Linked DNA regions of Chlamydomonas reinhardtii. The protein of the gene in region 1 interacts with the protein of each later gene in a pairwise test. Links are inferred from orthologs where the notes say so. Each region holds a gene or a part of one and is shown on either strand. Other genes may lie near its edges.

Region 1 (12,587 bases):
GGCGGTGCCGAGGCAGGGCTCAGCGACACGCGAGGCTCCGCCGGCGGCGGCATGGCGGCGACAGGCGCGAGCGTGCTGGGATCATCCAGCGCTGCGGCGTCAGCTCTTGCTTCTGCAGCGCTCTTCAACATTGTCATCGTTCCGGGCGGACCGCCTCCCCCAGAGGAAGATGACGAGGAAGAGGCTGGCAGCCGCAGCCGGGGGGGCAACAGCAACGACTCTGATGACGATGACCTGGGGTTGTTACCTCGCAGCCGTCGCCGGCGCTCATCCACCAGCAGCCGCCGGCGTTCGTCGGGTGTGTCGTCCGACGGCGGCGCCGTGGGCCTGCCGCAGCCCAAAGACGCGCTACCACCCATGTGGTTCTTCCCGTCCGGCGCGAGGCCGGTGACCGCGGAGACCGTGGCCGCCGCCATCGCTTGGGTGGGGTCGCTGGTGACCGACGCCAACAACCTGGTCCTGTGGGCGCAGCCCATGCCGCGCACGCACCTGCTGCTGTCGGGCCTGGCGGCCGCCTACCCGCGGGTGCCCGGCTACCGCCGCGCCGCGGTGCTGCTGTGCCAGCACCTGAAGCCGCACGAGCGCGCCGTGCGCCGCTACTCCTACGGCGGCAACGGCTCGAACTACACCACGCCGCGGCAGGGCAGGAGTGTGGCTGGCAGCCGTGCTGTCAGCCGCGCCGTCAGCCGCGCCGCCTCCAAGCGCGGCGGCATGCTGAGTCGCAGCACCTCCAAGAAGAACCTCAGCAGGGCACTCAGCCGCATGGGCACGCTGCGCGAGCGGGCGGTGGCGGCGGCCGCCGCCGCGGTGGTGGAGGAGGGCGAGGAGGGCGCCGGCGCCGACGGCGCGCTGGGCGAGCCGGGTGTTGAAGAGGGCGACCGGACGGCGTCTGCGCTGGAGGCGGCGGTGGCCGCGCTGGCGTCGCGAAGCGGCGGGCGCGCAGTGGTTACCTCCGTGTCGGGGGCGGATCCTGGGCTGGCCGGTGCCGGGGCCCCTGCAGCGCATGTGGCGTTTGGTGAGCCGCCGCCGCCGCTGGCACACTTGCGCCAGGCTGAAGATCGGGGTGAGGAGGCGGGTGACATGCCTGGCCCGGTGCGCTCTGAGTCGCCGGCGCCGCAGCCGTCACGGCAGCGGCCGCGGTCTTCCATCGCACGCAGCGGCCAGCCACGCTCCGGCCTGGTTACCGGCAGTGGCACTGACGGGGTGCGCTTTGGCCCGTTCGGTGACGGGTCGGCGCCGCCTATGCTGGAGCGCTCCCGCTCACGACCGCGCGCCGCGACCGACCTCGGCATCAGCGACAGCGATCCGGATAGCCGCGTCATGCGCGGCAGCGGCTTTCGCTCAGCCGACGGCGCGGCCGCCTATGCGGCCCTGCGCGAGGAGGACAAGGCGGAGGCCGCCCGCAACCCCGACCCGCCCCGCTTGGGCTTCCCGGTCTTTGTGGTGGTGCACGAGCTGGCGATGCCGCCTCTCAGCGGCCCCGCCGGCGGCGGCGGCGGAGGCCTGTACGGCGCGTCTGGTCCCAGCTACCTGATGGCGTACCACGTGTACCAGAAGCACCTGGAGGGTTTGCTATACGAGCAGGCGCGTGAGGACGTGCAGCAGCTGTCGCTCGGCTACTTCCGTGGCATGGCGGAGGCGGAGGGCGGCTTCCTGCAGGTAGGTGCGGGCGTACAGTGTACGGCAGGGTGCGGGTAGCTAGGGCATGGTGGTGCCGCATGGCGGTGTGGCTTCACTGCTTAGTTTTGGTGCTTCGTGCCGGCGGCTACACGCACGTCCCTCGCATGGGCTGTTTGCAGGGATAGGATGCAACCACCGGTCATGGGCATTGCTGACTGTTTGCCCGGTGTGTGTGTGTGTGTGTGTCCCGGATGCCAGGTGGCTGCCTCGCCGCTGGAGGTTGGGTCGGCGCTGGTGCTGGCAGCCTCCTGCGCCGTGAACGGCCGCTACCTGAGAGACCTGAAGCTCAGCACGCGCGGCGCCGTGCTGCGGGAGCAGTTCCCGCAGCGCCTGCCGCCGGCCATGCCGCTGGGCGAGCCGGTCACACTGCTGGTGCGGCTGACCAAGATGCAGGTGCGTGAGTGTATGTGCATATGTGTGTGTGTGTGCATATGTGGGCTGCAGCGCGTGTGCTAAGGGCAAACGTAGGCGCTGCTCAACAACGACAGTGCCTGTCGCCTTCGTTCACTGTATTTCTGACATGCGTGTGATGTGTGGATTCGCCACGTGCAGCCTGGAGCCGCGCTGGTGCTGGCGGGGCGCTGGCCCAATGGCTCACGGACGCAAGTGGAGGTGTCGGTGGACCCGCGGCTGCGGACGACCGGGCAGCTGCTGCCGCTGCTCTGCGCGCTGGGGTAGGTCAAGCCCCAGAAGAGTCAGTGCTCAAACTACACAGTCGCAAGCTGCAAGGGCGGAAACACGGCCCGACCACCTGGCCACTGCTAATCTTCTTTTGCCTATGCGTGCAGGGAGGTGTCTTCGCTGCTGAAGCAGCTCCCGCCGCCTCCACCGGCCGGCGGCTTCCGGCCCGGCAACGACGCAGCCAGCATGCGCCGCAGCGGCGGCCTGTCCCAACAGCAGCAGCAACAGCAGCTCACTCAGGAGCAGCAGGAGGCGCTGCTCAGGGCGCAGCTGGGCACGCCCAAGCAGCAGGCGGCGCGGAAGCGGGCCATCGAGAGGTGCCGGGCCTTCAATTTGGTGACCACGCTGACGCAGATGTCCATGGTGGGTACCCTCCCGCATTTCCGCAGGCATTCCCTCCATATCCACTCCAGAAGTTCTCAAGCACGCTATGGCGGAGTGTCATGCACGGTCATTAAGCGTGCCCGTTACCTGGTCACACATGGCTGCCTTGTGATCTTGTTGCGAACGCAGGTGACCATGACGCTGGCTCGCGGTCGTGGCCTGTCCATGCACACACACCAAAACAACGCCAACAGCCGACACGACCCCCGCGCCAACTTCTTCTGGCCTTCGCCCATCCTGTCAGTGCTGTCTGCGGCTGCACGCGAGGCGTATGCGGCAGGGCCCGGCGCACAGCTGCAGCAACAACAGCAGCAGCAACAGCAGCAGCAGCAGCACGGTGGGCCTAACGGCATGGCGGCCGGCGCCACCACGCCCTTCGTGGCGCCGCCCAACGCCGCAGCTGCTGCAGCCCACGCGCCGCTGTCGAAGGTGTCATCCCACCATCTGATCACATTCCAGGACCCGCCACCGCAGTTGTCGGCGTCACTGTCGCTGGCGGGGATTGAGCTGCCTGGCGGCATCAAAGGGCTTCCAACCGGGCACATGACGCTGACCGCCAAGGCACCAGGCGCGCCCTCACGCGCGTCGTCTTCCTCCCTGCAGCCGCCGCCGCCGCTGCCCCAGCACACCGGCTCCCAGCACGCCATCTCACCCGACCCCTCTGCGCCGGGAGCGCCAGATGACACAGGCTCCGAAGCCTCCTCAGCGCGCCCCTCCCTCGCCCAGGTCGCCGGCGACACCATGGCCGGGCCGCAACCAGGCGGCACCGCGCCTGTGCCGTTGCTGCAGCAGTCCTCGCTTGCCTCCCTCAAGTCCGAGGCCACAGCAGCTACCCTGACCTCGGATGCCTCGGACACAGAAAGCCGCGCCGGCGGCTCCGCCCGTGTCAGGACGCCCAGCCGCGCCGCGGCGCGGCGGCGGTCGCTGGTGCTGCTGGAGCAGACGACGCAGATGACGGCCCTGCGCATGTCGGCTCTGGGTATCCCGGCATATCTGCCGGATGGCGGCACACGTAGTCCTGACATGATTTCAGCAAGTGGCGGCGTAGGCGGAGGGCACGGTGCGCCCCGCCTGTCCAACTCAGGCACCCTGCACTTCGGCGGCACCGTCAGTCGACGCGGCAGCGCCATCAGCGGCATGGACGCGGCGGCGGCTCAGCACCAGCTCGCGGCGGCGCGGCTGTCCAATGTGTCTGCAACGTCATCTGCAGCGGAGTGGCGAGCGCCGCCCACGCAGGACGGTGCACAGTCAGATGAGGCTCAAGAGCCCCGCAGCGAGCCCCAGCAGCTGCTCAGCCCGCCTCTGCCCACGGCTAGGAACCTGGCGCCCGCGGGCGCGCTGCCGCCTCTGGCCCCAGCGCCTGCTGCCAGCAGCCGGCCGCAGCCGACCCCCAGCCCGCAGACTCTGCATCTGCAGGCGTCCTACGCCTCGCACCAGATGTCTTCAGAGCAGTCCAAGACGCCCACTGTGCCCATCGGGCCGCCCATGACGGCAACGGCCGCCGCCGCTGCCCACCAGCTGACAGTGCTGGGCCAGCTGGCGGCGCTGCAGCGGGCTGACGGCAGCTGGCCGCCGGACGCGGTGTTGGAGGAGCTGGTGGTCAGCAACGGCCGCAACCTGGATGTGCCCGTCATGGGTGAGTGGAGTGGCGGGACGGGATGACTTGCAGGTTTTGCAAGGGGGGATGGTACTGGCAAGGCCACGGCCCTGGCTGCAGCTTTGGTTGGGCTGGTTAGCTGTATGGCATCGTGCAGGCCTGCATGAACACCGCCGCTGTAACATCACACATGCGTTGGAGCAACGCGTGCATGTTTGCTGTTCCCATCTATGCAGGTGGGCCCAAGCCCCAAACCGGGGCGCAGCGGCATGAGGCCATTGCACGTGAGGCGCGGGCTAGGGAGGAGCTTGAGGGCTTACGCGAGCACGCTCTACGCGGCGCGGTGCGCGGTGCGCTCTGGTCCACGCTGCTGGCGCTGGCCCTGCTGCGCACACGCTACGCAGCTGCCCGGCTAGCCTGGATCCCATTGGAGGCTCGGGCGTTTGCATGGCTTGAGGGCGTGTGGCCGCCGCCAACCATATGCCCGCTGTCGCCTGCTTCGGCAATCCTGCGCATCTCCGCGCTGCTGGTTTAGGCAGCAGCATGTGTACGGTACGTGTGTGTGAGTATGAATGTGTATGTGTGTGTGTGTGTGTGTGTGTGTGTGTGTGTGTGTGTGTGTGTGTGTGTGTGTGTGTGTGTGTGTGTGTGTGTGCTTCGTGTGTAGTCGGCCTAATGCACGCGGCGGTCGGGAGCGCAGGTGTGTACTTGGGCGCGCACGTATTACCGGAACTGAATAACCTGGAGTAACTGTGTGAGCGTCGGCAGACTTGGGTCGCACTCGACACTGACAGCACTTGGAATAAGCTGCATGGCGATACGGCGAATGTAGGGCCATAAGAGGATTGGGAAGGTGGTGTTGGGTGATTGACGTACAAGGTGGGGTGTCGGCATGCTTTGGAACTGCAGCCTGGACTGACAGCATGACCTACATGCCAGCATTGTTAATAATACTGCCGGCGGCAGTATGTCGAACCAGTCACCGGTCAGGGTGGGAAAGGTTGGATGCCATGTTTTGTTGCGGCATCCAGGATTCCCGTCTTGCTTGTGACACGGAGACTTGTGGTTGTAACATTGCCGCGCTGACTTGCTCCACAACTGTAAGCCATGTTTATATGCCATGCAAATCAAGGGCTGTGGCGCCTGCAGCCCTATCCGTCAACTCGTCAAGGCTGTAGCCTTCAGGGGCGTAGGGACGCCGCACGTCGAGCACGTTACTCGCACGTCCCGTGGCGGTGGCAGGTGCGCTGCGTCATACCGGTACTCTCGGGATTTGTGAGTTTGTGCTGCGTCGCATCTCATTTATTTCTAGTGCATGTGCCCTGCAGAAATCAGGAACGCGCCCCTGTCCGGGCCAGGCACGCTCCCGGGCTTGGTCCACGGTGCTGACTGCCCGTCAGTGCTATCCAGGCTATCCTGTGCTATCGACGACGCCTGCCCGTACCTCCGTGCCATACCTGCAGTGCATAGTTGCACGAGCACGGAGCCCTGCCCACCACATATGTGGCGATGCAGGTATGCGAGGATGCAGCAAGACTGTGTGCGGGCCGGGGGGACCAGATCGTCAAGGCCGTGCATGGATTGTGGCAGCCGGCGCGCCCCCATAATTGTTATCACGACGCATACGCTAAGACATACCGACTGTACATTATATGACTCGGTAACGGCTTGTGGCCAGGTGACTGTCACATAAATTGCGCGTAGACCCGGTTAGAGGTCGCCAGCTGCTCTGCAAGTCTCGTCGACTGCTTTTATCTCATCGCTAGCTTTGCGGCGGGGGCCCCAGGGCCCTGCGCTTGCGTCGCCGCCCACATTTGGTGTAGTCTTCGGGAGCGGACCGAGCAGCAGCAATGGCGGAAACACTGCTGGAGCAGACCCGTGGTATGCATAGATTTCATGCCAGCGAAGGTGTCTCGCCGCGCGCGATGTATGCATCACCACCTTTCCGCGCTGCGCAGGTCTCCACGAGGACATGGAGCACTTTGAGCGGGTCATATGCAAGGACCTTAAGCAGGAGACGAAATCTCATAAAGATAAGCTCTTCCAGTCGCATCGTGTGCGGAAGCGGCTTGACCAGATCCAGGAGTCAGCTCGCAAGCTGGTGAGATACTGCTGAAACACAGGGTGCTTACAGCAAGAGGAGGCAAGAGGGATCCTGCGGAGTGCCGGGGGCTCGCAGAGTGGGGCCAGTTCGGCGGGGGTGTCCGGGTGAGTGTGCCTGGGAGTACCCACCGCCACAGCCGCGGGCGACAAGGGCTGTGGCAAACCAGGGCCGCGCAAACCTGTGGATGTGCAGATTAAGATCTACGAGGATGAGGACAAGGCTCGGAAGGAGGAGATTGAGGCGCTGGGCGGTGAGGACAAGGTGTTCAGCAAGTTCTATGACCGCCTGAAGGAAATCCGCGAGTACCACCGCAAGTTCCCCAACCACGAGCTCACTGAGGTGCGCAACAGGGGCGGGGCCACAGGCTAAGACAAGCTATACCCCTCGCTAAGTTTCCCGCCTCCGCGCCGTCCCTCCACACACCGTGCCCTCCTCTGCCCACAAGCCCGCCTTCGACCTCACCCCTCGCCCTCACGCCGCCCACCCCACTCCAACCCCGCACGATCTCCTCTACCTTCCCCAACCCCACTCCCCAACCCCAGGCCGAGGACGACACACCACTGCTGAAGGAGGAGCCGCACGTGGAGTTCACGGGCGAGGAGGGCCTGGGCCGATACCTGGACCTGCACGACCTCTACCAGCGCTTCTGCAACCTGCGCCAGCAGCAGCAAGCCGGAAAGGGCGGGAAGAAGGGCAAGGGTGGGGCGGGGGCGGACGACGACGGCGCCATCACGCGGGTGGACGGCGACGGGGCGGAGGTGGCGGAGGGGGGCGCGGGCGGGGCTCCGGAGAAGTCGCTCGAGTACTACGAGTACCTCACCAGCTTCTCGGACTTCAGCAGCCTGCCGCGGGCGCAGCGGATGAGCAAGGGCTTCAGGTGGGTAGGGGCCGGAGGTGGGGGCGGGAGGGGGGGCTTGTACGGGGGCTACTGTGGTGTGCGTCCCAGGGGAGGGGCCTGCGGCCGACAACCTGCAAGACAAAGCGGGCCAGGATAAGTCTGCAGATGTACCTCCGCCATCCCCGTTATTACACAGTTACCTACGGTACGCGCTCTTCCCTCTCGCTCCCCTGCAGCGAGTACCTGGAGGCGCTGCTGGCCTACCTCACCGGCTTCTACGAGCGGACGCAGCCGCTGGCGCAGCTGGGGCGCACCCTGACAAAGGTGGGAGTCCGCCGGCAGGAGGGGAGTTGGCGTGGGCGGGGTATGCGGGCCCGGTCGGGCAAAGCAGCACCGTGGCTGCTTTGGGTCGGGTGGGTTAGGAGTGGGATGGGCGGGTGAATTTATACCTGACTAAGGGGGCTGAGCGGTCAGATGTGCTTGTGTGTGGATGCGGCAGGCATTGTGGTCGGTTCACGCTTCAGCGCGGCCCATGCACAAGTGCTCGGTACCACCGCCTCGGCGCACGCTCACCGCATCCCTCGCAGGTGGAGGAGGAGTTCGCGCCGCGCTGGGAGGCGGGCCAGGTGGCGGGCTGGGAGGACCGCGGCGTGCCGGCGGCGCCGTCCGCCAGCGGCCTGGAGCTGGAGGCGTTCAGCAGCGCTGAGGAGCTGGAGATCCTGGGGGCGGACCGGCTGAAGGAGGCGCTGACGCAGCTGGGGCTCAAGTGCGGAGGCACCACCAAGGACCGCGCGGCGCGGCTGTGGCTGACGCGCGACACGCCGCTGGAGAAGCTGGACCGCAAGCACTTCGCCAAGGGCGTGGTGCCGCCCTGCGTGGCGGCCGACCCCGCCGCCGCCGCCAAAGCCACGGCGCAGGCGCGCGCGGTAGGTGCCGGGCAGTTGCTGGGATGCTGCTGCTGATGGGTGGGGTGGGGGCAGACGGAAAGGGGGTGAAGGTGGTATGGGTTGGGCGCGAGTCCGCCTCCAGTCTCTTTAACCACTGCCTCGGGTGCTAAGTGCAAGCGCGGGCCGGGTTTCTGGGGCAGCCGATCCCCACTCTCGTGTACTCTTGTACGCCGCATGATGGTGATGCCGTGTCGCCGCCCACCGTCCTCACACGCCTCTTCGTGCCCCCTCCCAGGTTGCGCTGCTGGAGGTGAAGGTCCGCAAGATGGCGGAGCTGTTGGTGAACGTGATTGCTGACACCAAGGGCAAGGTGGAGAAGAAGCAGGCGCAGACGTACGAGGAGATGCAGGTGAGGTCCGCCGGCCCAGCTCGGAAGAGCTTTCGGCACCTGCTTACGCTGCCGACCCAGCGCTGTCCTTAATGCTGCATGCCCCTCACCCGCCGGCCCCCTCGCCTGCCGCAACCCCAACGGTCCGCTCCCTCCGGTCGCTTCCTCCCTGCGCACAGGCCGAGCTTGCGGAGGCGGAGGCGGAGGTGGCGGCGCCGGACGACGAGGAGGAGGACGACTTCGTCTACAACCCGCTCAAGCTGCCGCTGGGCTGGGACGGCAAACCCATCCCCTACTGGCTGTACAAGCTGCATGGCCTCAACCAGGAGTTCAAGTGCGAGATTTGCGGCAACCAGTCCTACTGGGGCCGCAGGGCGTACGAGAAGCACTTCAAGGAGTACAAGCACCAGCAGGGCATGCGCTCGCTGGGCATCCCCAACAACAAGATGTTCTACGAGGTGACCAAGATTGAGGACGCGCTGCAGCTGTGGAAGAGCATCCAGGTGCGGCGGATAGGGCGCGCAGGGAGAGGGGTTGAGGGAAGGGGGGGCGGTACCGGCTTGTGTGCGCGTATGGGCGCCCTCGGTGACCTCAACAGGTGGCCTCCCTCTACACAGAATTATAGGTTGACACCCTCGCGTATGGACACCTCTCCACGCATCCCCATTCTAAGTAGACATGCGTATAATCCCCACGCAACCCTCCCCCTTCCCCTTTAACCTGATTTTGTTTAGTTTGAGTTTCTGTATTTACACCCCTCCTACCCCCCCCCATAAGTATTATCGCTCGCAACTAACGCCTCTGCCTGCACTCCCGTTTTCGTTGGTTTTGGTTTAGTTTGGGCTGGTATTTATAACCCCCCCCCCCCCCCGCTCGTGCAGGACAAGGCCAAGGGCGACTTCAAGCCGGACGACGAGGAGTTTGAGGACGCCTCCGGCAATGTGTACAGCAAGAAGACGTACGAGGACCTGCGCCGCCAGGGACTCATCTGAGCAGCAGGCGCAGCGAGGGCAGGCAGGTGGAGTGCACGGGACGGGATGGCGTGAGCGTTGGTGCAGGAAGAGGGGTCGAGGAGGAGCAGGCAGAGCAGGAGAAGAGAGCGAATGTGGCATGCGGTACATGTTCATGGCCGTGTTCTTGGTCTCGAGTTCTGTCAGGTGGCGGGTACTGAGAGCGCTTTGGTCGCTTGGCGCTGTCCGGTGGTGTGCGTTGGGACTGTGTTGACAGGCTTGGTGTGGGCCGCTTTGTATACTGTCGTGCACGGTGTGTCTGCGTGGTGCTATCGCCTATCGCCTGGCCGGGCATGAAGAATGCGCGTCAGCAAACTTCCAGCCAGCTAGCAACTTGTCGGTACAGTATCTCCGGCGTTCGACCAGCCGCGCGCTCCTGCACTGCATTCCGTCGACCATGGCCAGCCGGAATGCGGATGGGGTACACCGCTTGGCCATGGCGGGCGCACAGGTGCGCCTGGCTAATACAGACAGACGTCAAAGTTTCATTTCAGCACAGCTTATCCGACGCGTACGCCGGTGTACAAGAAAAACAAACTATTTAACAGGAGCGTGGTGAAGGTGCGATGGGATGTGTTGTTTCGACTTCAGCAAATGGCAACGAAAGGCATGGATTGCAACCGCATCGAGCCCCTGCTTGGAAGCCCATGGAGTTCTGGTCCGTTGAGGTGAGTCCAGTGTTCCCTAGTCATGGAGGTGTAACTAGAATACCAAGGTGTTCTGCAGGAGGTAAATTACTGGCTTTCTACGCTGCCAAGTATTGACAACGTGCACTATGCGACTTTACTTGCGCCCTTGGATGAGGGCTGCGTGCTTGCAAACGTCTGGAGCGTGGAGGTAAGTTTATTACTTGTCTAAATGGAACGTATGAGTTTCAAAATTGAGTTGGCATAGGTCTGCGACTTGACGCTCACCTGACGCCCCCCCTCGCACGCACAGCACCTTGTGGCGCGGGGGGTCCACAGGGTTCACGCCGTGCGCCTGATCGCGTACCGAGATCAGGCGCGCTTGCGTACACCTGCAGGAAAGCCCTTGGAGGACTGGGATACAAAAGTGAGACCACGCAAACGTAACCCGGTTGTGCAGGGGCCGCGCCCTGCTGCCCCGGGCTTCACGAGTGCAATGTGCTGCTGTTGTTGACAGGATGTCTCCAACTGGTTTGACACGCTGCCGGCGGACTTGGCGCTACACGCACCAGTGCTGGCCCATGACGAGGGTTGTGTCCTCGCTGGCGTCTGGAGCTTGGAGGTATGAGCTTTGGTCCTAGGCGTACGGCAGCTGTGTGTGGGGGGAGGGGGGGAGAGGGGTCGCCAGCCAGGGTGGGTGTGAAGACGAGCCTAAGCTAAAGCAAGCGGAGTTTGCTGGCTGCACTCTTCGGAGCGTTGTTTCCCTTGCACCATGACGGCGTTTACGCTGCCGCCTTGTAACCCGCATTCGCCTAGCATACCGTACTAAAGCATGTACTGGGGTTTTAACTTAACTGGCAAACTTGGGCCCTCTTTGAATCTGCCCGCCCCCCACAGTACCTCGTGCGGAGAGGGCTTCCGCCGGACGACGCTGCTCGCCTCGTTGCCTACCGAGACAAAGTGGCAAGGCTGACGTCGCGGATTTTGGTGCCGAGCTATGTGACTTTCGCCGATGAACGCGGTACTGGCGGGGCCAGCACCTCAAGGCTATCCAATGCCGCTGTAGGCGCTGCGGCCTCTGTGACCGCCGTGCCCAACTCACTTGCAGCAGCAACGGCAGCAGCAGCGATACCAGCAGCAGTAGCCCCTTCGTCCGCAGCCGTTACGCTCGCAGCAGAGTGCCTCATAGCAGATGGGGACGATGAGGTGCCCCTCAAACAAAGCACGCAGCAGGCGGAAAGCACGCAGGCGGACGAAGTGCAGTTAGATGTGCATCTGGAGGCCGCCGCAAATGAACCGGGCAAGGGGAAGAAGCTGAAGGTGGGTGAGCCTCCAGCCGAGATGCCTTCCTGTAGACGCCCGGCTCTTCTGACCAACGGCCACCCAACCGCAGGCTCTTGCCAAGCAGGGCGTTGCAGTTGCACGAGTAGTTCTTGAGCGAGTGGGGCCAGCACTTCCGTTTGGAGGTATGTATGAAAGCGCGCAGGATTGCATGGCCCCACTTGTCCTGTTGGACACGTACGGCTCTGCAACATATGCCTTGCTCCATCGTGTCCCTTCTTTCTTTGACCTAACTTCCCACCCACACCCGGCTCACCCTCTGTCGTCCTCCTACGCTGTCCTACGCCACTCATCAGGCGCCGAGGCAGCCAACCTGATTCTTCAGGTATTCAGGCAGCGGATGATGAGTGGAGTCCTCGCCCATCGCGTCCTGGAATTATATAAGCAACCTTCCCATCCCTGCACCTGGAATTTTATTAAGCAACCTTGCTTCGTAGCCAGCAGAGGGATTGCACTGCGCTTGCTCCTGCTGCTGCTGCATGCCCTGCTGCCGTGGCCATGCCCTGCTGTTTGCCTGCTCGCCCGCCCGCCCAGGTGCTTGACGCAGTGGAGGCCGCGGTGGCCAACGCCGCCAACCTACGCCAGCTGGCGGAGCGGGCGCTGACGGTGATGGATGTGCTGCAGGCGTATGCGGAGCAGCTGCGCGGGCTGCAGCGCCGCCGCCGCCAGGACGGCGACCGGGGGGACGGCTGCCGCAAGATTGTCAGCCGCTTCCAGGACCATTTGCGGGTAGGTAGGCAACGCGGCAGGGCGGTGGGCGGTATCAAACCATGCGCACACAATCAATCTAACAGCTTTAACAGCCTTGAGATTCTGGAAACGTGTGAACCCTCAACCCCAACAGCATGTCTGGCATGAGCCCGCACGCGCCCGGCCCATCACATACACACGCACCCAGGGCATCCTGGGCTATGCCCGAGAGTACGCCAGCCGTAACTGCCTGGTCCGGCTGTTTACCTCGGCGGGAGACGCGGAGCGGTTCCAGGAGTATGTGGAGGAGCTGAGGCGGCTGGGCGAGGATCTGCGACTGTTGCTGGCAGTGGACAGCAAT
Region 2 (10,260 bases), on another chromosome or scaffold:
GATTGCTGCGTCCAGGGGAGTCACAGGAAGTGGAGTCCAGTGGCTGGGTGGAGACGGGGAAACGGAGCGCCCGTAGGAACAGGAGGGGTGTTGCAGGAGATAGGGCCCCCCGGCCCGGGCCAATGGTCCTACAAGGAAAGGATAGCGCGCACGATCGTGCACACCACCTTGTAACCAAACACACACAGGGTTACCGCTCAAACGCAGCTGCCGCCTGTGGATCTAGCCAGCCGCTGCTGTTGCTCAGCAACCCCCTGGGCGACCTGGGGCTCCTGCCGCCGCTGCCGTCGCCCGCGGACGGCGGTGATGAGGAGGGTCTGGGAGACGGCGATGAGCGCGTGGAGCTGCCGCCGCCGCCCGCGCTGGCGCTACCTGCCCCTCTAGTGCAGGCACTGCAGCAGCCGCCTCCGTGCATGCCGCCTCCGCAGTCGCCTCCGTGCGCCTGGCGGCAGCACAGGTCGCGTGCGGCAGGTTGTGTCGCGCATCGATGCAGGGCTGAGGCTAGGTGCTGGCGGTTCGGGTCAGGGCGGGGAGGGCGGGGAGCTGCGTGTGGGTTCTGAGCCGCCCGCTGGCGGCGCTGGCAGCAGCGCTGAGCCCATGAGCATGTCGCAGTAATGTGCTAGTTCTTTGTGACGGAATGCTGCCGCCGCGTTTCCGCCGAGTTCCCCTGCGCCCCGCCCGCGCGTGCACACCAGCGACTCCCATGCACTCCAGCGAATCCCGCCCGCGCTGGTGCCCAACTGTCAACCGTGTGAAACCGTGTGCGCTCAGAGGCAGCTCATGGAAACCAGGTCAGCCCCATGCGTCTCTCTGAGTTTACACACAGCTCACACGCAGCTTCCCAAACGGCGCGGGCACGACTACGCAGTCCCACTCGCACGCCGCGCCAACCGCCAGCCTCCGCCGTGCTCCACCGTGCTCAGACGCAGCTTCCCACACGCGTGCGCGCTCAACTGCCAGCTCCCACTCGCGCGCCTGCCGACTAGCACCAACTGCCCGTGTGCGTCACTACAGTCAGGTAGCTTCCGAGCCGAGCCGCCGTACAACTACCTGCTCAGACTCGCGCAGCTGCCGACTGCCACGCTACCTCCTGTACGGCTGAGGGGTTTGGAGTGCCGTACACGAGTTAGTTGGGGTTAGTCGGAGCTGTCCTAGAACATACATTATACTATTTTTTCTCGGTGCTAATGCGTTATGGAACCACAATGGTGCTATGCGAGTTGGGGCCATGCAGCTGGTCTTGTTGTGGCGTGCTTTATGCGCTGTATAAGGAGCTTGACGTGCTTAACAAACTTGATATTCCGGCTGGTGGTGCAGGTTTTGCTGGTTTTGGCGGGCTGTCCAACCTTTCACCCTTCGGGATACAGTCTAATGAAGTGACGCTGATGCAGTACGAATGCCCGGCACGCGCGCCAGTGGCCCACAGGCCCAGATCATTACGGTACTTGCATGCCTCTCTTTCCTTTTGGTCTTGAGTAGAGACTCTACTAATGGACCTCATCCTGGCGCTGTGCATTTAGATTGTGTTTGTTACAAGAGTAATCTGCTGACATGGAATGTCAGTTACGTGGATTGCGATCACCCTTACATACAGTGTTGTTCTGTTGCAGGACGGGCGGCGACACATGTTTGCGCGTGAAAGGTAGTCGTGGTGACTTCCCGCCTTCCCTCGAACTGGGTTGAGAGATGATCAGCGAAGGCGTTGCCCCGTTAATACATGCTAGGCCCTATGGGCCAGCGTTGGGATTATTATTATTATTTGCGCGTGAAGATAGCTGTGGGTGCGACTGGCATTTGTCAAGGGGATGCTTCCCTCCAGCAGGCTTCCCTCCAGCGAAGCCTGCGGGGGCTGCTTGTAAGCAGCCGCAGCAGGCTAGCAGGCCCATTGGACAGGGCGCGGCGGGACATGGATCAGGAGGGACCCACGACCGGGATTGATGGCGGGCGGACTCACTCCACCTTCCCCCCCCATATACACGTTCACGCCATGGGTGGATGCCGCGCCGCGCTCGACAGTTTTATTCAAGTTTCGCAGTTTTGTGTTTCGTCATGTGTGATTATATATGCGACGTTACGAATATATAGGTATGGACCGTCATGTATGATATGCCGTAATGAAGATGGATGTTGTACGAATACGCAAGCTGGCGGTGTGGTTCCCTGCGCAGTTGTCATGTGCTCAGTTGGGTTCCTTGCGTCTTACTAACTTTCAGTGAAAGTGGTAAGGCTGTGAAGGGCACACACGGTTGACAAATGTGCGGGTCTTTTGTGGGGTTTCATGTGCTGGCGTTCGCCGAATGCCGTTAGCGCTGCTGGTGACTGGACCAGCAGGGTGCACCCCCGCTGTTTTACAATGGGCCGCGAGATAGAGCTCATGGCGGGGCCGCCCCTAGGCTCTGGCTGGTAAGGCTACTGAATCGTCGGGCGTGGGATCCGGGGAAGAGGATGGACGAGGCGGAAGTTGCGTTTCGTACTAGTTGGACTGTGGATACAAGGCTGGAGGTGGTGGTACATTTGCAGCCAGATGCCCGAAGCGTCACCTCGCTCGGATGCCCCCGATAGCCTGGAGATTTACAGTCCGCTGGCGAAGGTCGGCCGTACCCAGATTGCTGTACATAGCACAACGCCGCACACGTGCGTGAATGCATTGACGACTTGTTTAGCACTTTAGCTTGGCGTACGATATGGTGGGATTGCGACGTCAGGTCCGGGCGTCCGGCCATGTGCATGAGTTGCTTTACTTGCTGTGTAGAGGGTACCCGCGCCTGTCAACATACGAGCATTCGTTCCCACCACACTCGTCATTAACGAGCGTATCCATGCCCAGCAAGGACACACGAGCACAACCGACACGTGTAACCCCGGTGTAACAGTTGTGACTGTAGTCAGGGGGGCAGTGGAGACTGCCGTGTACACTAGCACAATGATCACCTGCTTTGCCTTTATTATGGATTTCTCAGTGATCCACTGCCAGGCCAGGCCACGACAGCCCCGCGCCCCCGCCCACCACCTCCGAATGCTCACTGCCTTCAATCTCCACCCCCGCCTGTCCGCGTATGCTCACCCGCAACCGCGCCCCGGGCCCACCTCCACGCCCTATACACCATGTTAACGAAGATACCGGGCGTTGCTTTCATCCCCTGCCGCGACTGACCGCTCCCGGACAGCACCACGCCGCCACACGCGCCCGCCGCCCACGCCACCTCTGCCTCTGCCTGGAAACCGCACAAACACCCCATCACCGCATGCCTCCACAACCCCCTCACGCAATGGCAGGCTCCGCCGCCGCCGCGACTGCCCCTGCGTCCACCGCCGCCGCCTCCAGCTCCACCCCCTCCAGCTCCGCCGCCTCCGCCGCCGCGGCCGCCGCCAGCGCCGCCTTCTTCTCTTCGGTCAGCGGCAGCAGCAGCTTGAGGCGGTAGGCGTCCACACCGTTCAGGTAGTACCTGTGCAAGGCAGGGGCGGCGGCGGGAAGCAGGGCGGGGAGGCGCTGTGTGTGCTTAGCCGGATGAAAGCGCGCCAGTCACTGAGCTGGAGCTTAGTTCGCAGCTAGTAATACGGTACTCGCAGCTGGAGGTGGGGTGTGCCATGTTGGTGCGTGTTGCGCAGCTGACCCAGGCGCAGCTGGGTTTCGGGAAGTCAAGTGCCAGCAGTAGCGTCGCCCTGAAGGCTGACGCCACGCCGCCGGCCGCAGCACGCGCACTGTGTCCAGTCGGGTCCACGGAAGGGGCGTCCAAACCATGCGACAGCTGCAGCGCACTTTTTCCGTACAGCCCATGTACCGCAGCCCACATCCACCAGCAGCACACAACTGCATGCTCAGCCTATCACTAGTCCCTTCCCTCCCTTTATCTCTCCAAGTGCCACCTCCTGAACAACCGCACCCCGCACCGCCCATCCATTTGTCTCCTCCTCTTCCCAGTCTCGCACCTGTGAAGGCGCTTTTCCCGCACGAAGCCCAGCCCCTGGTATAGCTTGAGGGCGCCGGTGTTTACGACCTCCGCCTCCAGCACCACCTCCTCGCAGCCGCCCGCAATCATCTCCCGAATCCCCATCTTCACCAGCTCAGAGCCTGCGGAGTTGAGCGTGCAGCGTGCGGCGCGGGGCGTTTGACGGGGTCAAGCTTGGGAGAGGGGTTCGTGAAATGCATTGCGTGCGGCAGGATCTTCGTGCGCCAGGCGTGACGTGCAAACACGGCCGCGTGCCGAACCCCCCAAGCCCCATCACCGCCAGTGCTTGCCCGATCCGCACCGCCTCCTACGCTCCCTCCCCTACACCCAACTAAGACACACACAGACTCACTCACCCACGCGCTTGCCACGGTACTCCTTGTCAACCACGAGCATTGCGACATAGCCGCGCAGCGCCCGGTCCCGGTGCATGTCCATTTTGCACACGACCGTGCCGAACGGCTTGTCACCGTCATATGCAATGTAACATAGGTGTGGCCATTGCTGCAGAAAGTAGCGATACGTGAAGATGCTGTAGGGCTCGCTGAGCTCCTTGTCGACCAGGCCCATTACGATGGGCAGGTCCTCCTCGCCTTTGTACTGCGTGTTCGGCATTTTGCATATATGGAGAACTGGATACTAAATCGAGGTAAACAGGCAGCTCCTAATCTAGCTTGCAGCATTTTGCACGCGGTCGTCGCCGCCCTGGTAGCCAAACTCCCACATAAAGAATTGGACATGATACAATCGGCTGAAAGATCAGCATGTGTTTGCGCTCCAGGTCGACCCACTCACTTGGACATATCGGATGGCATCGCTGGTCGTCGCCTCGGCGCCGCTCTGCGACCGGCCTGTCTCTTCTGCCATTTTAACTCCCCGGTGTGCTTATATGGACTGTGTGAGTGCACCTGCTGAAAAAAGGGTTGGGGTCCATGAATCGGTCCCGATGTGTTTCGTGCCTTGTTGCCCCGAATTCCAGGGATGTTAACAGGACGACCACTGCCCATTTGAACTGTCTGCCCACTGCAAGCTCTTCATAGAAACTCCGTTAGCTCTGACTGACCTTTGGACTCACCCCAGTCCCCAGGCTCTGCGGTCCCGGGCAACGCTTTCCCAGCGCAAATTGGCAAGTTGCGCTTTTGGCAGCAGACCCTGTCGCCTACGGCTGGTGAGCGAGCAAACGCGCGGCGCAGAACCGCGCAAAGGCGGCAATCGACGCGGCTCGGCGCGTCGTCTTTCTGGCTTAAGCTGAAACTGATTGAAAGAATGTATGTGTATCGGCGAATCTCCTTGGCGGCCTATGCCGACAGCGCGGTGAGTTGCTGCTGCTGCTGCCCTTTTGTCCCGTGGGTCCAGCTTTGGTGTGTGTTGGGGAGTGTGGCGTCCATAGGTGCCGAATTCAACTGTGCGCTTTGTATTGCCGCAGAGTGGCGGCTGGCAGCTGCTGCGCGACCGCGGTTGGCGCCGGCCCCGCATGGCCCGCATGCTGGCGGCGGCGCTACCGGTGCTCCTGGCGCTGTCCTCACTGGGTGGGTGGTGGGTGAGTGGGTGGTGCACTGATGTAGGTGGTGGGTGCCAGGTACTGGGTGCCGGGGCGTAGGTGCTGGGTGGCCGGTGGTGGGTGGTGGGTGGGGACTCGGAACTGTAGTAGGAGGGCAGGGAAGACGTGGGGGAAGGGCAAGTGGGCTCGGGCAAGGTGATGACAGGCACAGCGGGCGGGAGAAAGAAAGTGCGTCGTTGATGGTTTGGGACGGAGGCGGCCCTGAAAACTCCGGAATTCAGAGGAGCCGGGGAATGCAAAGTATCTGTGCCCTTTTGAGGTGGTGGGCCCCCCTGCCCCCGTGGCCCCTGACCCACGTGTGTGACCTAACCCCATGTGTGTGCCCCCTGCTGTCGTGCAGCGCCCTCGGACCTCTTCTTGGCGGGCGTGCCACATACACAGGGGCACCCCACCACCGCCCTGCCGGTACGTGACACCGCACATACACACCGCTGTTTCCCCCTCTTCCCTCTCTTCCTTCACCATGCTCAACCTGCCCACAGTGCCAGTACGGCACAGTCTCACAATGCGCCGTACTTTCATCGCGCAAACACACCGCGCGCAGGAGGAAGCCCGGCGGCACCTGGTGGCGGCCCCAGAGCTGCAGCCAGGAGGGGCGGAAGCAGGAGCTGGAGCTGGAGCGGAAGCCGGAGCGGGAGCCGGAGCCGGGCCCGGCAGCTGGGCGCCTAGCCTCACCATAGACGCCGCTGCCGCTGCCGCCGCCGCCGCCGCCGCTGCCGCCGCCGCCGCCGCTGCTGGGGCTCACAGGCAGCCTCAGCCGCCACCGGTTTCGGCGGAGGAGGCAGCGCCGTACACCTTTGGCGGCGGCGTGTTGCCGCAGACGGGCCAGCCGCCGCCACCGCAGCACCAGCACCAGCTGCAGCTGCAGCCGGATCAGGTGGCGGCGGAACAAGTGGGATGTCCCATCGGCGGCCCGGAGTGCCCTTTTGCAGAAGAGCACACGGCCGCTGGCATGGGCGGCGGCTTCCACGGCGCTGCTGTCATAAGTGGCGGTGCCGTGGAGGGCGTCCTGGGTGCTGCTCTGCTCGGGGCGCCACACCTGCAGGTCGACCTGGTGCAGCAGCAGCCCGCGTCGACACCCAGCATCGACGAGCGGGCTGGGATACAAGGGGTCTCCAAAACAGGAGTGCACCTGCCGCCGCCGCCTCCGCCGCCGCCGCCTCCGCCGCCGCTGCCACAGCCGCCGCCGCCGCCGCCACCCGTGGTGGGTCAGCAGCCGCCTGCAGCTGCCGCGGTTGGTGGTCTTGCCGGACCACGGCAGGCACCGGCAGCAGCTCTGGGCGGCTGGTCCATCTCTGGTCTGGTGGAGCCTGTAGTGCAGGTGGGGGCGGGATGGCGGGTGGTCTGGTGGTCTGGTGGTGCATGCAACTGACCGGGTGATAGTGATGATCAAAGGTGGCGTGGTTTGTGCACGGGAGGCTGGCGGCTTTGCCAGCAGCAGGACAGTCCGTTCACCTGTCGTCAAACAACACGAGGGAGCGTATAATTCCTAATCAGAAGAGGGCGAGTGCATGCCCTCACGCCCACACCACCACAAACCACGACTTCACAGGCGCTGCGTGTACAGTCGGCCGCCACGGCTGTAGACCTGGCGGCGGCGGCGCGGCTGCGGGCGGCGGCGGAGAGCGCGGCGGCGCGGTTGCGGAAGCACTTGGACGACGTCAGGTACGGTGTCGTACGTACGCCACCGCATGCCCCTGCGTGCCCAGGAAAGGCCCGACCCCTGCGTCCGCAGCAACAAACCTCCCACGCCTCCCTGTTTCGTTGGGCTCGGGCATTCAACCCCTCCCCTCCCTGTCCTCCCTTACCCGCCCGCCCCGCAGGCAGCAGCAGCGGCTGCTGGACGCCCGGCGCGACGCGGCGGCGGCCGCAGGTGACTACGGCGCTGCGGCGGCGCTGCGGCTACAGCTGGACGGACTGGAGGCGGAGGCGGAGAGCCTGGAGGCCGCGGCCAGGTCGTCAGCGGACAGGTGCGTGCGTGTGTCGTACGCGTGTGTGTTTATGTGTGTGTGTGTGTTTGTTTGTTTAAGGGCATAGGGAAAACATCTCGCAAAGAGAGAGAGAGAGAGTGTGTGTGTGTGTGTGTTTGTGTGTGGAAGTTAGGAAAGCACCACCTGGGCAAGGGGCGCGTGCCTGTTTAGGGAGCACACGGGAAAGGTTGCGTGCGTGCGTGTCTTTGGTGTTTTGTTGCTTCCGTGCGTTGAGATGATGTCATAGATGGTACCGGCACGGCCGCAGGCGCCGGGTAGCACCGTCAGTTGGTGATGGCATTAGATACTGACTGGAAATCAAGCACGGGAGTGGATGAAACACAGCGGTGATAGCACCTGCTGTCATGAATCTTATTGCCTTGACTGTCCGTACCTATGTAGTCTACGCATGTCTGGCAGGCTGGACAGCCTCACGGAGGCGGAAGGCGGCATGCGGGCGGCGCAGGCGGCGGCGCTGCTGGCAGCGGCGGCGGAGCTGCGCCGGCTGTCGTCCGCGGCGGCGGGCGCTCTGTCCCGGCTGCAGGCGGAAATGTCCGAGGTGCAGGTGTGTGTGTGTGTGTGTGTGTGTGTGTGTGTGTGTGTGTGTGTGTGTGTGTGTGTGTGTGTGTGTGTGTGTGTGTGTTATGGACGTGCGTTGTGGAACTGTGTGTGTGTGTGCGCATGTGTGTAGTGTGTGTGTGGGGTGGGTGGGGGGTGGGGGGTGGGGGGGTGGGTGGGGTGTGTGTGCGCTGGGCTGAAGGCGAGTTGCCTGCGAGTAAATACTGCTTTCCGCCCGTTGGCGCCCACGGTTGGCGCCTCGCCACGACATTATGCCCTGGCGTCCCCCGTGTGCCCCAGTCGCGTCTGGACACCACCACCAATGCCCGGCGGGCCCTGGGCCAGGTGCGGCGGGTTCGGATCCGTCACCACGGGTGCGGGGTGAACTCGGGTGAGATAATCATGTGGTTCACTGGCCACCTCACGACAGCCACTCGCCACGTTTCGCCGTATTCGCCGGACGCGCCAAACGTTTTGTCTACGACGCCACTCACGCAGGCGCTGTCTCGTCACTCGCAGCAGACGGACGTGCGGCGGGAGCTGAGGCGCCTGGCCCTGGACGCGGCGGCGGCGGAGTCGGCCGCGGCGGCGGCGCTGGCCGAGCACAGGTGCGGGAGTCCCCACCAAGCCTTCATGCTGCAATGATGTTTTGAGGTTTGACTGTCCAGCATGGCACCAACACGTCATGCCAAACGGCACGCGGCAAGCAGTGTCATAGCTGACTGCCATTATTGTGCAACCAACTGCCTGTGCCGTTGCCATTCCGCGCATTTATACGCTTCGTACACAGGGCCGCCAACCGCGCCGTACTGACTGACGCCGCTGGCCTGGTCCGTAACCTAACCGCCGCCGACAGCCTGGCGGCGGCGGCGGCCGCGGAGGCGGAGCTGCTGCGGGGCCAGCTGGCGGTGGCGCTGCAGCTGCAGGTGGGGCAGGGGGCCATGCTGTCATGGTGTGTGAGGGGTTTGTCGGTTTGTGGGGGGTGGGGCATGTTTGGGAATGTGGGGCATGTGTGGGGCGCGGGGTGAGCCAGCGCGTTCCAGAGATTGCGGATGACGGGGGTCGGTCGGTGTGAGTCAGAGCAAGGCGCCCTTTGTCCTTCCCACGGCCCCGTGGTGTTGCTGTGTCATCCCCGTGCAATGCAATTTTCGGTCCGTTGTTTCAGAGGTGCACCAAAGTCCTTGATCTTCAACTTCAACTTTTGTGATCTCCCAAACCTCCTACGCGTTCTGTGGGCTCGTCCCTGGGTCTTCTTTCTTTGGGATTGTAGTTAAGTACCCACCCGACACCGCCACAGGACTATGCCCACGCGTCTGCCCTGCGCTCCAGCCTGCAACGACTGGAGGAGGCGGTGGCCGGCGGCGGCGGAGCGGCGGCGGCGTTTGGGCGGCTGCTGGAGGCGCACCAGGCGGTGGTGGCGCAGTGAGTGGCGCGGCGGCGGCGGGTGGCGCGGCGGCGGCGCGGCGCGGCTGTGGGGGTTAGCACAACCACAGATGCAACCACCCATGCAATTGCAGACGCACACGTGAAGCGAGCAGATGCACTCGTACCTGTACGAGTACCGTAAATGCTCTTGCGTGGCGTCGCCTGGATATGTGATGCAGGCGTGCTCGTGTCAGTAGGCTCAGCAGTGTGTGTGCTGTAGGTGCTGTGGTGGAAGGCAGCTGCTGTGCTGTGCAGCGCGACACGTGGCGCCTCCCTGCCGCCCCTGGGATACAGGGCACTTCGCCGCCCCGCCCCGCCCCGCCCCGCCCCGCGCCCCCGTCTACCACTTCCTTAACTACCGTAATCATGAATGCACCCCCCGCCCCGCCCCATCTTGCAACCGTGCAGGCGGCTGGCGGACTTCGGGCACGGGCTGCGGCGGTTGCAGCGTGCGGGCGTGCTGGTGGGTCTGACCGACGACCTCCGGCGCATGTACGGGGCAGGACAGGTGGGTGGTCGGGTTGTAATTACCAGTCCAAACTAAACCGAACTTAATGGTGGATGGGTAGGTGGATGGGTGTCGTGGCATGCAAAGAGAGGATGCAGGGTGTTGGGTGGGGAACATGTCCTCCGCATGTTGGGTGGCAGGGCGGCAATTGAGGTGCGTGCGTGCGTGCTTGCATGCATGTGAGTGCCTGGGTCCATGACTTGGTTCAGTTGGTCATGCTCGTGTACCGTGTCGCGCATACGTGGGCTTCGGCTGCGCTTTGCACCTGACAAGCCCCCCCACCCCACA

What was found.
Region 2: the proteins of CHLRE_06g297750v5 (region 1) and CHLRE_14g623800v5 interact in binary tests that used the Arabidopsis thaliana proteins (3 or more experiments, as listed by UniProt). The link is inferred for Chlamydomonas reinhardtii from reciprocal best matches to the Arabidopsis thaliana genes ATO and ATMAK3.

What each region holds. Positions count from the first base shown.
Region 1 is NC_057009.1:7,165,112-7,177,698, reverse strand, and holds CHLRE_06g297750v5 (uncharacterized protein), read left to right. Parts: upstream 1-5,953; 5' UTR 5,954-6,192; coding exon 6,193-6,223; intron 6,224-6,300; coding exon 6,301-6,443; intron 6,444-6,638; coding exon 6,639-6,785; intron 6,786-6,988; coding exon 6,989-7,323; intron 7,324-7,520; coding exon 7,521-7,608; intron 7,609-7,871; coding exon 7,872-8,210; intron 8,211-8,466; coding exon 8,467-8,580; intron 8,581-8,738; coding exon 8,739-9,062; intron 9,063-9,440; coding exon 9,441-9,551; 3' UTR 9,552-9,820; downstream 9,821-12,587. Other genes in the region: CHLRE_06g297800v5 (uncharacterized protein), read left to right, coding at 1-1,659, 1,879-2,073, 2,233-2,354, 2,469-2,724, 2,875-4,381, 4,579-4,877; CHLRE_06g297700v5 (uncharacterized protein), read left to right, coding at 11,208-11,241, 11,304-11,515, 11,589-11,661, 11,833-11,861, 12,071-12,265, 12,435-12,587. UniProt on the Arabidopsis thaliana protein: Splicing factor homolog to SF3a60 that may be involved in pre-spliceosome formation. Is necessary for gametic cell fate determination.
Region 2 is NC_057017.1:2,336,743-2,347,002, reverse strand, and holds CHLRE_14g623800v5 (uncharacterized protein), read right to left. Parts: upstream 4,924-10,260; 5' UTR 4,818-4,923; coding exon 4,746-4,817; intron 4,551-4,745; coding exon 4,307-4,550; intron 4,073-4,306; coding exon 3,931-4,072; intron 3,447-3,930; coding exon 3,263-3,446; 3' UTR 2,560-3,262; downstream 1-2,559. Other genes in the region: CHLRE_14g623750v5 (uncharacterized protein), read left to right, coding at 5,434-5,479, 5,852-5,916, 6,056-6,832, 7,064-7,176, 7,335-7,481, 7,902-8,046, 8,340-8,384, 8,538-8,647 and 3 more. UniProt on the Arabidopsis thaliana protein: Probably required for N-acetylation of some chloroplast precursor proteins and efficient accumulation of thylakoid multiprotein complexes.